Linked DNA regions of Saccharomyces cerevisiae S288C. The gene in region 4 interacts genetically with the main gene of each other region. Each region holds a gene or a part of one and is shown on either strand. Other genes may lie near its edges.

Evidence for each region.
Region 1: mutations in KAR9 (region 4) and BUD14 together harm fitness more than expected from each alone (negative genetic interaction), as found in Saccharomyces cerevisiae (2 studies listed by BioGRID).
Region 2: mutations in KAR9 (region 4) and RHO2 together harm fitness more than expected from each alone (negative genetic interaction), as found in Saccharomyces cerevisiae (3 studies listed by BioGRID, with this or other methods).
Region 3: mutations in KAR9 (region 4) and ABD1 together harm fitness more than expected from each alone (negative genetic interaction), as found in Saccharomyces cerevisiae (2 studies listed by BioGRID).

What each region holds. Positions count from the first base shown.
Region 1 is NC_001133.9:165,489-171,959, forward strand, and holds BUD14 (protein phosphatase regulator BUD14), read right to left. Parts: upstream 3,384-6,471; coding exon 1,254-3,383; downstream 1-1,253. Other genes in the region: YAR010C (gag protein), read right to left, coding at 1-378; ADE1 (phosphoribosylaminoimidazolesuccinocarboxamide synthase), read left to right, coding at 3,887-4,807; serine/threonine protein kinase KIN3, read right to left, coding at 4,908-6,215. UniProt on the Saccharomyces cerevisiae protein: Important for bud site selection. Seems to be a regulatory subunit of the BUD14-GLC7 type-I phosphatase complex. The BUD14-GLC7 complex is necessary to regulate microtubule dynamics at the cortex and may function as a specific activator of the dynein complex.
Region 2 is NC_001146.8:454,161-459,030, forward strand, and holds RHO2 (Rho family GTPase RHO2), read left to right. Parts: upstream 1-2,404; coding exon 2,405-2,983; downstream 2,984-4,870. Other genes in the region: NST1 (Nst1p), read left to right, coding at 1-1,970; TOP2 (DNA topoisomerase 2), read left to right, coding at 3,544-4,870.
Region 3 is NC_001134.8:688,770-694,546, reverse strand, and holds ABD1 (mRNA (guanine-N7)-methyltransferase), read left to right. Parts: upstream 1-2,853; coding exon 2,854-4,164; downstream 4,165-5,777. Other genes in the region: DEAD-box RNA helicase PRP5, read right to left, coding at 29-2,578; VHC1 (Vhc1p), read right to left, coding at 4,284-5,777. UniProt on the Saccharomyces cerevisiae protein: Responsible for methylating the 5'-cap structure of mRNAs.
Region 4 is NC_001148.4:30,091-36,407, reverse strand, and holds KAR9 (Kar9p), read right to left. Parts: upstream 3,396-6,317; coding exon 1,461-3,395; downstream 1-1,460. Other genes in the region: PLC1 (phosphatidylinositol phospholipase C), read right to left, coding at 1-1,172; ATP-binding cassette permease MDL2, read right to left, coding at 3,605-5,926; ATP15 (F1F0 ATP synthase subunit epsilon), read right to left, coding at 6,141-6,317. UniProt on the Saccharomyces cerevisiae protein: Involved in karyogamy. Component of a cortical adaptor complex that orients cytoplasmic microtubules. It may be involved in anchoring cytoplasmic microtubules to the cell cortex.

The DNA.
Region 1 (6,471 bases), on a different chromosome or scaffold from region 4:
TGGCCCAGGTGGAAAGTACATAGGCGACATTTGATAAGGTGTATACGGAATCATAGATGGGTGTCCGTAAAATGACCAACCAGATGGATTGGCTTGGTTTTGGGTCATCATGCACTGCTGTGGGTACGGCCCATTCTGTGGTGAATGTGACTGAGCAGTTTGAGGAGAGGCATGATGGGGGTTCTCTGGAACAGCTGATGAAGCAGGTGTTGTTGTCTGTTGAGAGTTAGCCTTAGTGGAAGCCTTCTCACATTCTTCTGTTTTGGAAGCTGAAACGTCTAACGGATCTTGATTTGTGTGGACTTCCTTAGAAGTAACCGAAGCACAGGCGCTACCATGAGAAATGGGTGAATGTTGAGATAATTGTTGGGATTCCATTGTTGATAAAGGCTATAATATTAGGTATACAGAATATACTAGAAGTTCTCCTCGAGGATATAGGAATCCTCAAAATGGAATCTATATTTCTACATACTAATATTACGATTATTCCTCATTCCGTTTTATATGTTTATATTCATTGATCCTATTACATTATCAATCCTTGCGTTTCAGCTTCCACTAATTTAGATGACTATTTCTCATCATTTGCGTCATCTTCTAACACCGTATATGATAATATACTAGTAATGTAAATACTAGTTAGTAGATGATAGTTGATTTCTATTCCAACAGGTTCTTATTTTCAACAATGTAATTGATGGCCTTAAATCTCTACTACATCATAAAGCTTCTAAGCACTTACCATTCCTTCATAAGTCTAGTATTGTAATGAGTTGGGCACATGGCGCAGTTGGTAGCGCGCTTCCCTTGCAAGGAAGAGGTCATCGGTTCGATTCCGGTTGCGTCCAAATTTTTTTGTTAATCCAACACAATTGAATTCGTGAATAGCTGACTGTCATCAGTAATGTTCGTGGAAAGTACCTATCCATACTGTTGTATCACGACTAAGTAGTTGTCGACTACTACCTCCTCAACCCCAGTTATATCCCTATGACACATTGGAGGATGCTGAATAATGACAGAATTTTATTCCTCCTTTTCATTATCATAATCTGAAGCAAAGTTAAAAAATAGAAGAAGTAAGATAAACTTTGTAGATACGATATATAGTTGTTTGTTTTAGCTATCATATATGCTGAACTGTTACTACCTTATTTTTTCCGAAATGTTTCTAAAACAAATAAATATTCATGAATATGATGCAAGTTCGTTGGATGAGAAAAAGACCAGGCTTTATTGTAAGGACAATATCATTTACGAATAATTTCATCCAATTGTTTCATCAACACATCCATTCTGTCAAAAACTGGAGCATAGAGATGTTGAACCAAAGAATTGGGCTTCGAAGCCGGATCGGACATATTGGTATTAGACAATGCCCTTGATCCGGAAAGTGAACTATTTATGCTTGCTGATGATACCGCCCTTTGTTCATCCATATAAAAATCTTCTTCAGATGATGAGTGTAACGATAAGGTTGATTGCTTTTCTTCTTCGGGGGTACTGTGATGTTTTTCTAGCTCCTCTTTAGGTTGTTCTGCGTCAGTTTGATTTGCCATTCCTCCACTAGACCCCAAGCTGGCTTGAATTTGCCCCTCTGTGTTTTCCACGTTTGTTGTCTCTTCAATTTTCGATTTTGCATGAATATATTGTGAAATGTCCTTTATTGCTCTAGATGATGGAATACTGCTGCTTTCTTCAACTATTGGAGTGGATGGTGATTCGTTTGTCCATTCTGACGACGACGGTGAAAACTCGCCAATTGTTGAAAGGGAATTTTGAGAGTCTGATTTTGCCATACCATTCGCAAATGGCATACGAGGCGCTTCAAATACTTTTTTCAGATCGGTATCGTAATCACTGTCAACCGGTTCAGACTTTTCTTGCCCCACATACCGATTTGCATTATAATCATCTTCTCTGTCTTTACTCGATGATGTCTTAGGCTCACTTTCGTTTTTGTTGTCTTGTCTCCGAACTTTTTTCACATTTAGTGGTGTATTCAAAGATGTACTAAAGGAGACGTCGCTCACTACATCGCTCGTATCATCATCCTGGAATTTGCCAAAATTTAACTTCGCTTCAGTGTATTCGTCCCGGTGCGTTACTTTTGTTTCCTTGTCGTTATCAACATCATCGTCGTACGACTGTCCATTGCCTTCACCGCCATCATCGTTACTATCTAACGAGGTATCTTCAATTGCATCATCTATAAACCTGTCTGCATAACCGACAACATCATTGAAACTAACAGATTTGTTCCCCTTACCATATCCATTCAGTGCAGGTGTCGGAATTATACTCTCTGCATCACTTTGATTCTTGTTACCAGAGCTGATGGAATCATCTTTCGAATCGGAGGAAGCAACCGATTGAGAAGACATGTTTTCATTTTTCCAGCAATTCAATCGAGCTAGTCTTTCTGGAAAGGTTTCTAGAATTTCCGCTGGCGCAAACCCGATTTTACCATCAGTGATCCTCTTAACCAGCCACCAATAGGCATCCTGGTCATTCAAAAGTATACAAGGTTCGTCTTGCCCTAATTGACAATGTGAAGAATCATGGCCATTGAACGCATATAAAGCATATAGTTTATCAGGGTCCAGTTCTCTTGGCGGCGATAAGGGTTGGTAATCGTCGTTTTCCTCCTCCAAATCGTCTTTCTCCCCTTGAAACCCTGAATCTTGAAATTTTCTGTCAAAGTCATCGTCATCAGAGTAGTTTTCCTCTTCATCCTCGTCCTCCGAGATGGCGTATTTCAAGCCATCACTAAAATCGTCAACGTCAGGGTTCATTGTATTATTCACTGAAAAATGCACCTCATCCTTATCGGCGCTATCCACGGAATCAGTTTCGATCTCTTGTAGCCTTCTTTCCAAATTGTCCTCAAATTCAGAATCCGAATAATCATATGAGTCGGGCAATTCCGAAGAATTTTCTTTGTAATGTCGCTGATCCCTTTTACTGTTGCTATGCATATGTTTTTCCACGTTCTCCTCCTCTAACTCTTTGTCATCATCTCTATTTCGCAGAACATCATGGCCCTTTTCTGCCGCATTACTCAGTATATTAAGTTTCGAATTGAAGGGCGAACTCTTATTCGAAGTCGGAGTCACCACAACACTTCCGCCCATACTCTCCGAATCCTCGTTTCCTAAAGTAAGTTTACTTCCACTTGTAGGCCTATTATTAATGATATCTGAATAATCCTCTATTAGGGTTGGATCATTCAGTAGCGCGTGCGATTGAAAGGAGTCCATGCCCGACGTCGACGTGATTAGCGAAGGCGCGTAACCATTGTCATGTCTAGCAGCTATAGAACTAACCTCCTTGACACCACTTGCGGAAGTCTCATCAACATGCTCTTCCTTATTACTCATTCTCTTACCAAGCAGAGAATGTTATCTAAAAACTACGTGTATTTCACCTCTTTCTCGACTTGAACACGTCCAACTCCTTAAGTACTACCACAGCCAGGAAAGAATGGATCCAGTTCTACACGATAGCAAAGCAGAAAACACAACCAGCGTACCCCTGTAGAAGCTTCTTTGTTTACAGCACTTGATCCATGTAGCCATACTCGAAATTTCAACTCATCTGAAACTTTTCCTGAAGGTTGAAAAAGAATGCCATAAGGGTCACCCGAAGCTTATTCACGAGTCAGTCTGACTCTTGCGAGAGATGAGGATGTAATAATACTAATCTCGAAGATGCCATCTAATACATATAGACATACATATATATATATATACATTCTATATATTCTTACCCAGATTCTTTGAGGTAAGACGGTTGGGTTTTATCTTTTGCAGTTGGTACTATTAAGAACAATCGAATCATAAGCATTGCTTACAAAGAATACACATACGAAATATTAACGATAATGTCAATTACGAAGACTGAACTGGACGGTATATTGCCATTGGTGGCCAGAGGTAAAGTTAGAGACATATATGAGGTAGACGCTGGTACGTTGCTGTTTGTTGCTACGGATCGTATCTCTGCATATGACGTTATTATGGAAAACAGCATTCCTGAAAAGGGGATCCTATTGACCAAACTGTCAGAGTTCTGGTTCAAGTTCCTGTCCAACGATGTTCGTAATCATTTGGTCGACATCGCCCCAGGTAAGACTATTTTCGATTATCTACCTGCAAAATTGAGCGAACCAAAGTACAAAACGCAACTAGAAGACCGCTCTCTATTGGTTCACAAACATAAACTAATTCCATTGGAAGTAATTGTCAGAGGCTACATCACCGGATCTGCTTGGAAAGAGTACGTAAAAACAGGTACTGTGCATGGTTTGAAACAACCTCAAGGACTTAAAGAATCTCAAGAGTTCCCAGAACCAATCTTCACCCCATCGACCAAGGCTGAACAAGGTGAACATGACGAAAACATCTCTCCTGCCCAGGCCGCTGAGCTGGTGGGTGAAGATTTGTCACGTAGAGTGGCAGAACTGGCTGTAAAACTGTACTCCAAGTGCAAAGATTATGCTAAGGAGAAGGGCATCATCATCGCAGACACTAAATTCGAATTCGGTATTGACGAAAAGACCAATGAAATTATTCTAGTGGACGAGGTGCTAACGCCAGACTCCTCTAGATTCTGGAACGGTGCCTCTTATAAGGTAGGAGAATCCCAAGATTCTTACGATAAGCAATTTTTAAGAGACTGGCTTACTGCTAATAAGTTGAACGGTGTTAACGGCGTCAAAATGCCCCAAGACATTGTCGACAGGACAAGGGCCAAATATATAGAGGCTTATGAAACATTGACAGGGTCTAAATGGTCTCACTAACGTGATTTACATATACTACAAGTCGCCAGTGTAACTCCTCACTGAATATGATTCATACATACCCGTATGTATTAATGTATAAATGTTCTCAGAGCAAATTTTATCGATATCTTGTTTGCCAGTGGTATGCAGGTTTGGCAAATTTTTTACCATAATATCCGTTTATAGATTCTGGAACCTTACCAACTTTCTTACCGCTAATTACTTCCCTGGCTCGCTCCTCCACTGCCTGGGTAAATTGTTCCTTCAACTGACTCAGTTCTCTTTCGTATTCAATAGCTTGCTTCTCGAGGATTTTTTCAATGTTTGTCAGCTCATTTTCATAGTCCAGTAACTTCCTTTCAAATCTCTCTAATTGCAACGACTTTCTTGCAGTTCGTATCTGAATATCTTGCAGTAATTCAAAAGTGGAAGGCCTGGTTCTTAAGTTCACATCTATCATTGAATGTATTATGGCATTAAGCCCTCTAGAGTAATACTCAGGGACGGTGTCACATTTCCCGTTTTTAATCTTAGTTTGTAGCTCGAGATAATTTTTTGCCTGAAATGGGGGGTGCAACGAACACATCTCAAAAATAACACAACCTAGTGACCAGATGTCGGATAGTGGGGAGTATGGTTGGTCCATCAACACTTCAGGCGACATGTAATATGGTGTACCGACGTATGTTGTGGCAAATTGAATACTAGTTTCCAGAGATTTGGCTAACCCAAAATCACCTAACTTTACCACAACTTGACTATAGTCCATAGGGCTCCCCCTTTTCCCTGAATTCACTCTATGGTCTCTGTAATAATTACTATTCACTTCCTCGTGACCGTCTACTTGTTCATTAATATTGTAATCGCTATCATCATAGCTTAAGAATATATTTCCTGGTTTCAGATCACGATGGATAACGATGTTTTTGCCTTTTACCGGTGGTTTCATCCGGTCATATATTGTGGTCAAAGTTGGCAATTCAACACCATAATGACATTTATAGAGCGCAGTCAATAATTGGGCCAGGATACCCCACACAATTTTTTCTGGTATATATTTATGCTCCTGTTTGTAGTGCTTAATCATCTGGGATAAATCACCCCTGGAACAATATTCCATATAAAGGTATAACACTTCTTTTTGTTCATCGAAGTCCCAGTTATAAAATTCTACAATATTTTCATGCTTCAACTGCGATAGAATGCTACATTCAGCGATCAGCTGTTGTCTCTCTTTGCTATTCATATGGCCATATTTGATATCCTTTCTAACCAAAAGTTTCTTGGTAGGTATATGGATGACTTTTCGTACAGACCCAAATGAACCTCTCCCAATTTCTTCGAGAACTTGGTATTCTGACCTTGGTGGGTGTCCCTGCTGCTGCTGAGGACTACGGTATTCTTGGAAAAACTGTCGTCTATGCATACTCACACAGAGAATTGATTCAATTATCAAATAGCACTCTCATTGAAATTAGTATTGTGAATCTTGCTCTTTTCATGTTATATGATTTGATATTCTTTTGAAAAGTCGCTTTTATTTACGTTTAACCTAATTAGGAAACGTAATGAAAAAATTCAGAAACCTTAAAAAAAAAACTTGGCTGTAACCTATCGGAAGACTGTGCCACTGCAATCATGTCAGATATCGTATTTCAGATTTATTGATCTATAGCTAGAAA
Region 2 (4,870 bases), on a different chromosome or scaffold from region 4:
GTCTTGATGAAACTGACCGTTTAGAAGAAGGTCGGAAATTGATTCAGATAGCCATTACAAAGTTGCTTCAAAGTCGAATAATGGCTTCTTATCATGAGAAACAGGCAGATAATAACAGACTAAAACTTCTACAAGAACTAGAAGAAGAAAAAAGAAAGAAAAGAGAGAAGGAAGAAAAAAAGCAGAAAAAAAGAGAAAAAGAGAAAGAAAAGAAGAGGCTGCAACAGTTAGCTAAAGAGGAAGAAAAACGAAAAAGGGAAGAAGAGAAAGAAAGGCTAAAGAAGGAATTAGAAGAGCGTGAAATGAGAAGACGAGAGGCTCAAAGGAAAAAGGTTGAAGAAGCCAAACGGAAGAAAGACGAGGAGAGAAAGCGTAGATTGGAAGAGCAGCAGCGGAGAGAAGAAATGCAAGAAAAACAACGGAAACAGAAAGAGGAACTAAAACGCAAGAGGGAAGAAGAAAAGAAACGTATTAGAGAACAGAAAAGGCTAGAACAAGAAAAGCTACAGAAAGAAAAAGAAGAAGAAGAGAGACAAAGATTAATTGCAGAGGATGCGCTAAGAAAACAGAAATTAAACGAAGAACAAACATCTGCGAACATACTTTCCGCCAAACCTTTTACTGAGAATGGAGTTGGCAACCCTGTTTCATCTCAATCACATCCCAACATGACTAACTACCAAGAGGATAATAGTTGCAGTATCAACGATGAAATACTTAAAATGGTTAATAGCGTGGCTGCATCCAAACCAGTTTCACCCACAGGCTTTAACGTTCATGATCTACTTCTTCCTTCAACTAACAACCAGATGCCTGCTATGGAACAATCACACTTGCCACAGCCAGGTAATCAAAACAACCATTTTGGAACTACAACTATTCCGAATGCGTTAGACTTGGCTACAAAATCTTCTTTACAGACTGAAAACAACTATTTAATGAACTCACAAACTCTGGAAAATACAAGTCTATTGATGCATAATAATTCATCGCCAACTAAGCTATTGCCAAATGACTTTGGTTTATCATCTTGGGGTGGTCTGACAAATACAATGTCCATAAATCCTACATGTAAACCACCGGTTATTCAAACTTCAGAAATGGAATCACAAGCCCATAAATCTAGTCCTCAAGCTACAATGCCATCTTTTGGACTACCTAATGGTGGTACTCACCGTAAATCGTTTACCGACGAGTTGAACACTTTAACTAGCATGCTTTCTTCTTCCGGGTTCGCAGATACATCACTTTCATCATCAGGATTCCCCCCATCACAGCGTTCTGTGTGGAATGATCAAAAAAGCTCATTTTCGGGACCGTCGACTGCAGGAAACTTTAACAACAGCAGTATACAAAGCGGTATGCTGCTCGCACCTACATTAGGAAGCGTTGAATCGTTTCCAAATCGAACTTCTATCTGGGACAGCAGCACCACTCCGATGATGAATAAATCCGAGCTTTCCGGTCGCAATATAACTAGTACTGCGCAAGATAGCCCTGCGTTCATGGCATCAAATATCTGGTCTAGTAACAGTCAATACAATTCACCATATTTGACTAGCAACGTCCTTCAATCCCCTCAAATTTCGAGTGGAGTGGATGAAAGCCACATTCTGGATAGCATCTACAATACTTATTTAGCTATTTCCCCACAAGATAGTTTAAACCCCTACATTGCTATCGGGACACTATTCCAAAATTTAGTAGGACTTAACTTGGATTACTCGACGTTTATCAACAAATTGATAAGCATGCAAGGAGCCTACAATTGCGAATTCTTTACTGATAACAATGGATCCATTACCCACGTTCGATTTGCGAGACAAACTCCCGCTGGCCACTCAAAGGGGTTGCTGAATCAACTCTTTAGTGGATTGAACGATCCAACTGCTACACCATTTACGTCAAGGCCTCATACCTCCACAAGGGCTAGTTTTCCAATTGCCTCTTCAACTACGCAAACGTCTTAAATTTGCTCCGGTACGCAGGGCCAAAAATATTTACATACATACATAATTCGACGAAATTTCAGAAGAGACACTAAACAATCGTACATCTCTCTACTCGATGTGAGCCACGCGTCGGTTTTTCTTACCGTCGTGGCTTTAGAGGTGAGGCTGCGACACCCCATACATCTTACCCGGCATTTAATTTCCATTTTTCGCAGGAATGTGAATATGATAATAGACTTCGGTACACTCTTTTTTAGGTATAACATATATCAATTGTTCAACAACAATTATTCAAAGCGCAACTCTCCAAAGGTAGTTATTCTGATAATTTGAACCAAAAGTCCCCAGATTAAGTCTTAATTAAACTGCCCTTGCATACCGCTGTAAACGATTTGTGTGCAGACATCAATTGCTGAAACGTTCTGCTTTGGTTGTGCTTTTGATCCCGTACTATGTCTGAAAAGGCCGTTAGAAGGAAACTTGTTATTATTGGTGATGGTGCTTGTGGCAAGACCTCTTTACTATATGTATTTACATTAGGAAAATTCCCTGAACAATATCATCCGACAGTGTTCGAGAATTATGTCACTGATTGCAGAGTTGACGGAATAAAAGTGTCCTTAACGCTCTGGGATACAGCGGGACAAGAGGAATATGAACGTTTACGTCCATTCTCATATTCAAAAGCAGATATAATATTAATTGGGTTTGCTGTAGACAATTTTGAATCACTAATTAACGCAAGGACGAAATGGGCGGATGAGGCATTACGATATTGTCCTGACGCACCAATCGTTCTTGTAGGCTTGAAAAAAGATTTGAGGCAAGAAGCCCATTTTAAAGAGAATGCTACCGATGAAATGGTTCCCATTGAAGATGCAAAACAAGTTGCAAGGGCCATTGGGGCCAAGAAATACATGGAATGTAGTGCACTGACTGGTGAGGGTGTGGATGATGTCTTTGAAGTAGCTACAAGAACCAGTTTGCTTATGAAGAAGGAACCAGGGGCTAACTGTTGCATAATTTTATAAAAAAAACTTACACTGAAATGATACATTATCTTTTTAGCAAGGGAGGGAAAAACAATACCGTATTATAATTTTAATCAAATTTCATAGATATAATGGAATAAGTTAAAAAGGCTTATCGATAGTGCATGTATAAAACACAAACCCATTCGATATGTTTGTTCGTTAATGTCCTACAGATTCTTATTCGAGAGCCTTTACCAGAAGCAAAATTTCCGACGGATATAAGAAAATGGCACATCAAACCATAGCTCAAGGTACTGCGCCGATGAGCTAAACGGAACTGCCTAGTTTGATTATTTTTCGTTTATATACTTATTTACTTATTTACGCTATTTGTATTCGAATTCCTTACGAGGCGATGAGTGAAAGACGCGCCAGTAGGACGCGTCTTTTTTTTTTCAGTATAATGTAAACATATTATTGAATTGCCGAAGGAGACAAAAAGAAAAGAAAAGAGGAGATCATCTTTCATATAATCCAACCACGTCGTAGAGCAAACCACGACAATTTTAACTTTCTGTTTCAGTTAAAGGAGTTTATAACGACCAGCACGGCTAACCATGTCAACTGAACCGGTAAGCGCCTCTGATAAATATCAGAAAATTTCTCAACTGGAACATATCTTAAAAAGACCAGACACTTATATCGGTTCTGTTGAAACTCAAGAGCAGCTGCAATGGATATACGATGAAGAGACCGATTGCATGATTGAAAAAAATGTCACAATTGTACCAGGGTTGTTCAAAATCTTTGATGAAATCTTAGTCAATGCGGCAGATAATAAAGTTCGTGATCCATCGATGAAACGAATCGATGTAAACATACATGCTGAGGAACATACTATAGAAGTGAAAAATGATGGAAAAGGTATTCCCATAGAGATTCATAACAAGGAGAATATTTATATTCCTGAAATGATATTTGGTCATTTGTTGACATCATCCAATTATGATGATGATGAGAAGAAAGTCACTGGTGGTAGAAACGGTTATGGTGCTAAGCTTTGTAATATATTTTCCACTGAATTCATATTAGAAACTGCAGATCTAAATGTTGGCCAGAAATATGTTCAAAAATGGGAAAATAACATGAGCATTTGCCACCCCCCAAAAATAACATCTTACAAGAAGGGTCCATCATATACAAAGGTGACATTTAAGCCGGATTTAACCAGATTCGGAATGAAAGAGCTAGATAATGATATCTTAGGAGTGATGCGAAGAAGAGTTTATGATATCAATGGTTCTGTTCGTGACATTAATGTCTATCTGAATGGCAAGTCCTTAAAGATAAGAAATTTCAAAAATTATGTTGAACTCTACTTGAAATCACTCGAAAAAAAAAGACAACTAGATAACGGTGAGGACGGTGCCGCTAAGTCTGATATCCCGACTATTCTTTATGAGAGAATAAACAACAGATGGGAAGTTGCTTTTGCGGTTTCTGATATCTCTTTTCAACAAATTTCTTTTGTGAATTCCATTGCAACTACCATGGGTGGTACCCATGTCAATTACATAACAGACCAAATTGTAAAAAAAATTTCAGAAATTTTGAAGAAAAAGAAGAAAAAAAGTGTGAAGTCTTTTCAGATTAAAAATAATATGTTCATTTTCATTAATTGTTTGATTGAGAATCCTGCATTTACCTCACAAACAAAAGAGCAACTGACAACAAGAGTCAAAGATTTTGGGTCCCGTTGTGAGATTCCTCTTGAATATATTAATAAGATTATGAAAACTGATTTGGCTACAAGAATGTTTGAAATTGCCGACGCAAATGAAGAAAATGCGCTAAAGAAGTCTGATGGTACAAGGAAAAGCAGAATTACTAATTACCCTAAACTGGAAGATGCCAACAAAGCCGGTACAAAAGAAGGCTATAAAT
Region 3 (5,777 bases), on a different chromosome or scaffold from region 4:
GCACCACGAGTGAGTTAAATTCTAAAAACTAGTATTTAGTACTCTTCAAAGACAAGCTTGCAGCCTTTACGACCCCCTCTTTAACTTTTTGCTCCAGCAATTCTATACTTAATTGTATGTCTTTCTCATCTTGGCCTTCGATCAATAAGTATAGTTTAGGCTCATCGTTTTCATTCTTTGGTTCCTTCCCTTCAGGGTAAAATTTACCCTTGTTAGTAATACTACATCCGGTTTCATGCTTGATAAATAATAAGGTTGTATTCTTTGTAGCCTCCCATCTTACAATCTGGGGTAAATCATTAATATAAACCTTGGCGTAAAAGATGATCGACCCGTCTGTAGACTCTTTGAATAGTTCATAATTGAGTCTCGGAATAAGCGCAGAAGACTCAGACACACTGTCATGCCCTTCGCGTGGATTGCTGATTTTCTTTTCCAAGTCATCGCTCCTCTTATCATTCTTTTTGAGCTCCAAATCTTTATTTTGAGCTTCCTCTCTTTTACTTTTGATATTTTCCAGTCCTTTGCCGCCGAACCCTTTCGACAACCTAAACTTACCCTTTTTCATACCGGATTCAAACTTGGCACTCATTTCCTGAAGTTCTTTTGCTTGCAGAGGGTCTAAAGCTTTTATTTCTTCATCGCGCATTGCCTTGCTCAAGATATAAGCACCTGACAGTTCATCATGCAATAGAAGAGTAATAGCAGTACCGGAGCGACTACCTCTGGCAGTTCTTCCAGTAGTATGAACATATTGCGCGAAAGTTTTGACGGCGTTATAGATAATAACCAACGACACTTCGGGAACATTTAAACCTCTTGAGAGAACCTCTGTACAGAGAAGAATACTGTTCTTTTCTCGTTTGAACTTTTCTAAGTTCATAAGCCTTTCTTGATATGGCTTACCTGCATGAATAGCACAGGTCACAATTCCAGCATTTAACAGCTTTTTTGAAATGAAGTCGCAAATATTCTGACTTGATACAAATATAATGGCTTTAGCATCAACTTCTTCAACATCGCTTGACTGTCCGTCATTTTCACTTTGAACCTCGTCAAAAAATTCACTGCGCTCATGGATAAGCTGCACCAGATTGTCAAATTTTTCATCTTCTGAATGGCATATTCTAAACTTTTGTTTTACGTTTTCATTAACCATTCCCTTTGAATTAATCGTAATAGATATTGGGGAATGCAAAACTCTTACGGCAAAACTGCGTAGTTTGTTCGGAAAAGTTGCACTAAATAGAACACACTGTTTATCCGGTCGAACAGTTTTCATGATTTGCGTTATTTGAGGTTCAAAACCTAAATCGAACAGCCTGTCTGCCTCATCCATTACTACGAACGTTATTCTTTTAGTACTAAGTAATTTCCCATCATTTAGTGTTAATATATCAATAAATCGTCCCGGTGTGGCAACAACAATCTCAGTGCCTCTTTTAAGATCAGTAATCTGCTTTTTCATTTCAGAACCTCCTGTACAGCATACTGATCTAATGGATGTATCTGCTTCTGTGAATTTAGTAACTTCTTCATGTATTTGTAAAGCTAGCTCTCTAGTTGGAGCCAGAATTAAACCCATGGGCCCTGTTTCATGTTTTGATAATGGCCGTTGAGCTTTTACTTGTCTTAGCAATGGTAAAAGATAGGAGATGGTCTTGCCGGAGCCAGTTTTTGATATTCCTATAACATCACGACCTGACATAATAGCGGGAAGAGCCTGGGATTGAATAGGCGTTAAGGAGCCAAAGTGCAACTTTTCTGTAATTAAAACCATGGTGTCCGTTGATAGTCCCAGTTGAGACCACTTTGTGACTGGTTTGGGGCAACCTGTTCCCTTTATTTTGATATTATCCAGACTAAGTCTAAGCTCCTCAACTTCCATCTCTGACATCGAGGAAACTGTTTCAGATTCTATATAAAAATTTTTTTGGAACGGCTCAAGCTCTTCTGGAGAGTAATAAATTTGCTTTACACGTTTTTTTGCTTTGAGTTTAGCAATTTTCGCTATATTAGAATTATCCGTATTATCTTCAACATCCTCATCGTCGGTTCCTCCAAGTTCAAACAATTGATCCTCTACATCAAGAATGTCGCCTCTGTCGTACATGCCTTTACTATTACTCATTTTCTCCTCCTTCAATGACGTCATAAACTCATCCAGTGGATCTTTTTCATTATCATGCTCTGGAGCTTTTTGAATGTGCTCCTTCGATCTAAAAGAAACTCCTATTTCAGAATCATCGTCATCACTGAAGTCGAAGGATATTTTCTTCTTTACCTTACTTCTCTTCGACTTTTTCTTCGAAGGCTTAACCGATACAGGTTCGTCAGATTTCCTAAATTCATTTTTTCTCTTCCGAAGCTCTTCTTTTACACGTTCCTGTCTTTCCGTAAACTTTTCAGTAGTCTGCTTACCTTCTAAACTGTTAGTAACAATGTCATTGCGTGAAGTTTGATGCTCTTTCTGAGCATCAAATTGTGCTTTTTTTTGTTTCCATTTTGCTAGTTTTTTCCTCCTTTCCTCCAATAAAGACTCCCTATTAATATTTTGCTTCGAATCAATAGTTTCCATACCTCAAATAAACCCAAGGCAACAGCGTTATGATTTCCCTTCTCGAATTATTTGGCGCTGTATTATATTAGAAAGAACTCTAATACCTTTAGTTTGGTCCATTGCTCTAAATGACTTTAATTAGTTTCATCTAATCCGGGTAATGGTAAATCAAGATATTTCAACATAAATTAGAAGATTTCTTATTTTAATCCTTTACATGTGAGACACTTTTCCGATTAATGTGACAACTACTACAACGTGGAGTCGTCCATTATCCGTCTTAGAAAAGTAGAATGTCAACCAAACCAGAGAAGCCAATATGGATGTCACAAGAAGACTATGACCGTCAGTACGGCTCAATTACTGGTGATGAATCGTCCACAGTCTCAAAAAAAGACTCCAAAGTTACTGCCAATGCGCCTGGTGATGGTAATGGATCATTACCAGTTTTGCAAAGCAGCTCTATCCTTACTTCTAAGGTGTCTGATCTACCCATTGAGGCAGAATCCGGGTTTAAAATCCAAAAGAGAAGACATGAAAGGTATGATCAAGAGGAAAGATTACGCAAACAGCGTGCTCAAAAATTGAGAGAAGAGCAACTAAAGAGACATGAAATAGAGATGACTGCAAATAGATCCATAAATGTTGACCAGATTGTCCGAGAGCACTATAATGAACGTACAATAATCGCCAATCGCGCTAAGAGGAATCTATCGCCTATTATTAAGCTTCGTAATTTTAACAATGCGATTAAGTATATGTTAATTGACAAATATACAAAACCTGGAGATGTCGTTTTAGAACTCGGATGTGGCAAAGGTGGTGATTTAAGAAAATATGGTGCTGCAGGTATTTCACAGTTTATTGGTATTGACATTTCCAATGCCTCTATCCAAGAAGCTCATAAGAGATACCGGTCCATGAGAAATTTGGACTACCAAGTTGTGCTAATTACTGGGGATTGCTTTGGCGAATCATTAGGTGTTGCAGTAGAGCCCTTCCCAGACTGTAGATTTCCGTGTGATATCGTTTCGACGCAATTTTGCTTGCATTATGCTTTTGAGACCGAAGAAAAAGCAAGGAGAGCTTTACTGAATGTCGCCAAATCACTCAAAATTGGTGGTCACTTTTTTGGCACGATACCAGATTCAGAATTCATTCGTTATAAACTGAATAAATTTCCCAAAGAAGTGGAAAAGCCATCTTGGGGAAACTCCATTTATAAAGTGACATTTGAGAATAATTCATACCAAAAGAATGATTATGAGTTCACATCGCCTTATGGTCAAATGTATACTTATTGGCTAGAAGATGCTATAGATAATGTTCCTGAATATGTTGTGCCATTCGAAACCTTAAGAAGTTTGGCTGATGAATACGGTTTGGAACTAGTATCGCAAATGCCTTTTAATAAATTTTTTGTCCAAGAAATTCCCAAATGGATTGAGAGGTTTTCGCCTAAAATGAGGGAAGGTTTACAAAGATCTGATGGTAGATATGGTGTTGAAGGGGATGAAAAGGAAGCGGCATCATATTTCTATACCATGTTTGCATTCCGTAAGGTAAAACAGTATATCGAACCGGAAAGCGTAAAGCCCAACTGAAATAAAAATGAATAGAAACAATAACCCTACTATAAAGCATCTGTATTTCGGCCGTATTACAAGACTTCTATATGTAGTAAATAAGTTCTGGGGAAATGCATAACGATATATGTGTTATTCTATAATGCAGTAGTTACTGTCATGGTTTGCGAATTGATTAACATGCATGGAGGTAAGCCCTCCAACCAAATATCCAAGTCCTCGACATATTGTAAACTTGCATCGTGATCTTCATGTGTTCCAAGAGCTGGAACTGGCAAGGTTGAAAAAATTAAATCCGAACTCTTTGACATTTGTGTCATCACATCATTCAGAACCAAATGTTGAGCAGTGCTGGGAAGATCATTGAAACCTAAATTTTGCATCGCTGTGACTAAACTATCTTTTGAACAACAAGGTGATAATTCGGGAAGAACCGGTTTCTTTAATTTGTTGCCGTTGCCAATACCGCTCCCAGTACCGTTCCCATTCGAAAGGTCAGGTTCGGCAATTGGGATCAGTGTCGGCTGTTCACCCGTGCCATCTTCCACGACTCTCGTCCTCGGCAAAGTATTACTCGAGAAAACGGGTCTTAACGACTGTGTTGACACATCGCTTTGTAAATTCTTTACGAGTAAATTTGTTCTGTCGGAACCGGTCTTCGATTTGGTCGTTAAGTCCTTACCTACTGAAATATTAGTCGATGCCGAGAAGGCATCACGAATTGACGTAAGATCTGTATCCAAATCGGAGTCCTCACTCTCGCATGGGGTATCAATGCGGTTAGTTGGCATTCTCGTATTCATTGTAAATGAGACACCCAATTTCTGAACCCCAGACGTATATTTTCTTGATTGTGTAAATTGCTTTGCTATCGTTTGAGGTTCAATAGTGGAAAACCTCCGCTTCGGTTTTAATGTATCACGAGCTTCAACCAAATCTTTCCACCATTCATTATCGGCCAATTTCGAGTTGACATAATCAAACACGATTGGGTCTCCCTTGACAATTGTGTTGTATACTCTGAATTGATCTAAAGATACTACCAAAACCTCTGCGTCAATTCTTAGAACCTGTAATAGCTTTTTCATTCGTTGAGTTTCGTTCGTTCTATGATATTCTTGTTCCACAAATAAAATAACTCGAAGCGAATGTGTGCGCTTCCATTCAGGAACAGTAACCAAAATGGCAGCTAATTGTAGAATCAGTGTATACGTATCAAAGTTAGTAGTGATAGCCGCAGGCTGGTCACCCTTTGCCTCAACTTTTCCGCACATTTGGATGGGATAAAGATCTATAGTTTTTTTTGGAAAGCAGCTGTCCCTTTTGTTCGGTATCTCTAAATTTTTGAATCCATGCGCTATGGCAATATTGGATTGCATCAGTGATAGATCTTCTACAATTTGAACCCATTGTTGTACATTAACTTTGGTTTCATTTTTACACTCATCCGTAGGCAATGGAACATTGATTTTGACATCAGAGCATGTACTACGTGGCACTGTAGCTTTTATTTCCACCTGTTTCTGAAGGTTATTTTGGCTGCGACTTTGTGGGATGTGCTTTCTATAACTTTCGAGGTCAAAAAAACCGACAACAGTAATGTTTGGTTTCATACCTCCAAGCCCGGAACC
Region 4 (6,317 bases):
ATAAAATAATGGTTTAATGGCTTTGAATATAACTCCTCTTTAACCTCCACCAAATATGGTTGCTCCTTCAAGAACTTGGTAAAACCATCTTGCCCCATCGTCAGCTGAGTCGGTTCTCTGTACTTAATAAAATATGACCATGCAGTTTGACGATCCACTTGCTCATGCTGCTCTGTAATTAAAAATTGAAAAAAATTTTCAAATGATAAGTGGGAGTGTGGAGGTTTTGTAAATTTAGACCAAATCATATTTACCTCTTTCCTATTCTTTAAGATTTTAATGAACTTTTCAAATTCAAAATAATTTAATAGTCCGTTATGATTGATGTCTGCTAATTGGAAAAACTCTAACAATTGACCAGTTGACACATAAATATGAAATTTATCACATAGTTTCTTCACATCTGCAAAGCTCAATGTGTCCTTTTTCTCATCTTCCTCTTTTTCAGAAACAGTAATTTGCCAATGTATCCTAGCGAATTGCGAATTATCAGGCAAAAGTATGCTTTCCATTAATTCCCTCCTTAACTTCACTAAACCGCAAATGCAGCTTAAGAATGTGTTAAAGTCCAATTCATTCAAAGCAACTACGTGTAACGCTTTCAATTTGTTGGAAACCTTATAAATAATAGCAATCCAAAGTTTACTGTCCGATCTCAATCTTTTCGGATCTACTTCCTCTTGATAAGTACTCGCCGTATCACCGATTCTGATGTCTTTAACGGAGTCTAATTCCAGATACTTCGAACCATCTTTCCATATTATTTGCCCGTTGTTATTGATTAATTTAAATTCATAGAACTTCCTTCTTCTTCTTGTCATCCTAATCATCCTGATTCCTCTTTGCAATACGCGACATAGCGTGCTGAGATCACAGTCTTTTCTTAATTTCTTGTTAACAAGCTCATTTATCCCATGTGAATAAGTAAGAGGCCCCATATGGACTCTAGGCAATTCGGCTGCTCTTCTAAAAATCGACCTTATGCTTCTTCTCACAGTACTTCCATTGTTCGCGCTTTTTTGGTCAGTATTAAAAGAGGATTGAAAAGAACTGTAACTTATAAAATCTAAAGCATCATCCTTTTGTGTTATTTTCCCTTGATCTCTGCATGAGTGTCGTTGTAACTCCTTTGTAAGATTAAACCTTTGGTCATCTATAGCACTTTCAGTCATTCATATACACTGCGTGAATGACCTTACCGTTGTACGTTTATAATTCCCAGTCTTTTATTGTTTTAATGACCTGAGGCTGCTTATGTCGTGATGCTTATACTATTTTTTTTATAAAGCGTCGGGTAAAGGTGTCAAAAACTGTAAAATGAAAACGTGCGGAATCTTCATGGACTATTTAAAATTACACATAATATTACATTATTTAAACTAGTATTACAAATTCTATGAATGGAGAGGGTGAGAGGGAGGATATATAAAAATGTATAAGTATACAGTTTTAGGTTAGTATCAATAAGTTGGGGTTTTATCTAAACGCCCTTCTCTTGGTGAAAGTAACTGTGATAAGGGGGTGGGAGGCCTCAATCGGGTTCTTCTTCTTGTCGAAGGGACCCAAACTTGACTATTAGGTGTCGTGATTTTTGTTGGCGGAGTCTGGAAAACCTTTGCTATCGGTGTGTTTTCTACGGTGACTTTCACCACTTTATCCTTGTATATAGGGATCCTAGAGGGCAAGGACCGGTAATGATTCCATTTATCTTTTTCGATGTCAAGCACAGACTTATTCTTTGCCATCAAAGGAGTTTCTGTAATCTGTACTTTATTTTCATGCCGAGATGTAATGAAGGAGTCTGGTGACTTTTCATTTTCCCCACGAGAAACACGGAGGGTGGTTTCATCGGTTTCGTCATAAGGTAAGGGAGGAACACTACTTAGTATCAGTTTTCCTTTGTTTGGCGACTCCGGATCAAAAAATGGATTAATCGCATTTGATGAATTTGGGCTTGTTGCAGGTTTAATATTCATCTTCTGCAGTAACGCTTTACCAAGCTTTTTACCTTTCAAAGCCACTGTAGTTGAATTTTCCGGTGTTTTATTACTGTCACCTTCATTAATGGCGACTCTCTCCTGGAAATCCTGGGTTATAGTTCCAATAACACTATTCGGTCGCCCAAAGCCTAATGATTTCGGTTTTGGAATCTTCTTCTTGCTAGTAGCTATTTTGTTTGAAGCGGAGGATTTGATTAGAATTTTATCCGCTGTAGGCTTGATATTCAGCCATCTTTGAGCTAATTCATTTGTCTTCGATGCGACGCCAGCGTCCAAAAGTGAGAATTCCAATGCTCTGTAAATAATATTGAATGTCTTAGAAACAGTTTTTGATTTTCTCTCCAATTGCCTCTCGAGCCTTATAGTGATATCTTTGGTATACTTTGTTGTCAGTAATTTCGACTGCAACCTTTCTATCTCATCAAGAATGTATAATAGTTCATGATTTAAATTAATAAAGAGTATATTCCAACGTTTGTCGATTAGTTCGACTTTCAATTCCCTAAACTCTGAATTCATAAATCTATAATCTTTCATTATCAGCTCGTATTTTTTTTGCAAGATTGTTTGCAAAGTAGTTATGTTTGTTATATTCCGGTGCCCAAATTGCACAATTCTTTGAGGTAGGATATCAGTCAAACTTTTTTCAATTGGAGGGATATTTTTTTTTAGGTTCAAGAACTTTCTTGATAAAATATCTTCTGCCGGAGAAAATTTTGGTACCTTTGGCTCAGTTGTCTCCGTATGCGTTCCTAATAACTTGACTAGTTGTTCTAGGGTAAATGATGGAGTATGCCGTATCGGGGACGCGAACCTTTCTTCCTGAATTTCCAGACAATACGATATATTGCTATTAATGATTTTATGTAATGTATCCATATGATCCTTTGAAATTTCGTTAAATTCCAATGACGTATCCAATAATTCCTTCAAGTTAGTAAGCCATGGCTCCAACTGAGTCTTAATTTGTGTAGATTCTTCTATGACGTCAAACATCGGGCTAAATCGATTGTATTTGTCGCTATCCTGATCGTCCTTCGAGAATTCATCCTCTAGTAAATCCAACAAATGAGCAAAACCTTCCTCAATATTATGAACGTCACTAATAAATTGATATAGCATATATTTTTTCAATAATAACCAGTCCATAAACAACAAAATATCGTCTTTTCCCAGTCTTTTCTTGTTGACTAAGTCGGGAATTACCGAGGCAACGTTCTCCAAATCATCATAAAATTGAACTAACAATGTCTCTGATATACTTGTGGTACTCTCATTCAATGAGTTGCAATCGTTTATTGAATGTAATGTATTGTGAATTCTTTCTAAACGTTCACAAAAGTTCTCTTGGAAGTCATCCCCAATGGTCATAGATCTGGGTCCATCATTATCCATGGCAGTGCTACTGAAATCTTTAAGGCTGTTACAGACAAAGATTCGTGCGGCCACATTACACTTTGTTATTGTTTCAATGTTATTTGTTTATGCTACCAAAAGTATCGATTCGGGTAATGAAAATCCTTTTTATTTGGCATTTAACAGTATTATATATAGTATATATTTAAATGTGCGAGATAAGAATGGGTATATGCGATGCGGATGACTCACGGTTGTGGTGTGATCTTAATTGGATTAGCCTCCTTTGCCGCGTCTTTCAGGAGATGTTCGACAGATTTTTCAATATCATCTGAATTATTGTCTTTCGTCTCTGGAGACTGGTTATTGCTGTCGTTATCATGATTATTATCATTATCGTCATTATCGTCCTTTTTCTGGTCATCATGCTCCTTACTCTCATTCAAATCTTCCTTTTCGATGACCTTCTCTATTTGCAGTTGTTGGTCAGATGGCCCAGGAGCCGCTTTCTCATTAAGTAATTGCGATAAAGCACTTGTTGGATTCGCATACAATTCTTTGAATTTGCCCATTTCTACCACTGATCCATCATGGCCAAGGACAATAACATTCTCTGATCTTCTGATCGTACTTAGCCTGTGCGCGATGCTAACAATAGTCATCGATTTTGATTTCATTAGTTGACCAAACGTATAGTTAATGGCTCCTTCACTTTCAACATCTAAAGCTGATGTAGCTTCATCAAGAATCAAAATAGTTGGCTTTTTGATTAGAGCCCTTGCAATCGCAATACGCTGCTTTTGTCCTCCACTTAGTAAGGTGCCGTGAGGACCAATTACCGTATCGTATGTGTTCGGAAATTTTGTGATAAAGTTATGGCAAAAGCACTGCTTTGCTACTGACCTGATTTCTTCCTTTGTTGGGGTATATGTCAACCCATAAGTGATATTATCCCTAATAGTACCTGACATCAGTACCGGCTCTTGCTGAACGATACCAATATGCCTTCTTAGGGATTTACAATTCAATTTAGAGATATCTTGGTTATCTATCGTAATAGTCCCAGTAGTGGGATTATAATATCTTAGCAGTAAGAGTGCAATTGTAGATTTACCACGACCTGAAGGGCCCACAATACAAACACTCGATCCTGGCGCAATTTTAAAATTTAAATTCTTGAATATTTGAACAGAAGGCCTTGTAGGGTAGCTAAATGAAACATCTTTAAATTCGATAACACCACGATCTGGTTTATACTTGTGTCCCACAGTCGGTGAAATGGAAGGTTTCCTATCTGTTAATTCAAACAACCTGGAAGCGGCCCCAGCACCCTGCATAATTTCCGAATAGAAGGTAGAAAGGCCGAATACCGCATTCCCCGTATATTCTGTGTACAGCATAAATGCAGTCAGATCACCAATGGAGAGCTGTGATTGTAAAACAAGATAGGAGCCATACGCAAGGACGGTTAAAAAACTTAGGTCACCTAAGAGACTAGTTGTAGTAAAAAACTTTGCGTTTGTAAATGCCGCAGTTTTTCCCACCTGAAAAATATCTCTAATTGCAACGTTATACCTAGACAATTCATTACCTTCAGCAACAAACGACTGAACCGTCTTGATACCAGAGAGTTGTTCTTCAGCGACTCTAGTCAATTGACCAGTAGCTTCTTGAAGGTCTTTAGAGGTGTTTCTAATTTGCTTCCCGAACACTGAGGCACTAAAAAGAACAGGTGGAGTGAAGAATAGTAACAATATTGATAGTTGAGGTGACAAAGAACACATCATCCCCACGCCAACAACCCCACAAATTAGGGCTTTGACCCCATCCGAGACCTTCTGGGTCATTGATCTTGAAACAACATAAGCATCAGATCCTAAACGAGAAATTAAATCCCCAACTTTATGGTTGTCGAAGAATTCTGCGTCTTGATGAAGCGTTTTTTTAATGACATTTGCCCTTAGGCGTGCAACAACACGCTCACTTAGTATCCTCAATAATATAAATCTACCAAAATTAGCAGCACAACCAATCAGTAAAGCAACAGTAAAAAAGGAAAGAAACTCATATAAAGGCAAAGAAAAAATCGGTATCTTCAAATCAAAAAAATCTGATCCAGATGACGTCTTAAGTGTGTCAAGGACAATACCTATGACTTTAGGAATAGACATGCCTATGGAACATGATATGGTTAAAAGAAGTATGGCTGTAAGAAGCAGTTTCCAATCCCGTTTCGCCAACATAAATAACCTTATTATATCTTTATAGTCATCAGTTTTAGATTGCTCCTTTGCATGTGCCGACCTTGCTGATCCTTTAGATATGGGAGAGGCTGAAGGCAGAGAAGTTTCTGGAACTGTTTTGGATGAATTACATCTAAAACTTTGTAAAATTAGTGATTTTCCAACTGCAGGTGACCTTAAACACAACCGACTGAGAGGAATGAGCTGCGATGAAGAAGGGGTGACCAAAGACCGAAACCTTATAGATGGCAGTTTAGCCAGTCGGGGACGGGACAGCATGTTTCTGCATATGCCCAGCCGCAAAAGTGGTAAACGACCATTCAACATTGCGATTGGCGATGATGGGACATATATTTCTTTTTCTTTTAATGCAATGATACAAACTTTATACCACTCTTCGAAGCGGCCAGTATTCAATATCATTGTAGTCATTATTAGTTTCCCGTATAAAAGTACGTAAGTTTTCATACACAGTTGCTAGAATATTTAAAATGTATATCAGCGAGTAAAAAAAGAGCTGCAGTTCCCAGGAAGCGTTAAACTATTTTGTTATTGGAGTGGGTTCAGAAGCTGCAGTGCCATTTTTATATTGGGTATAAAAAGCATCTGTTTGCGATCTGTTAAGAACACTAGCGGTTTGTAATTCAGTTTTCAATGAAGAACGGATAGCCTGAGCGGCCACATTCAAATATGCAGCATATGATATACCAGCTTTCCT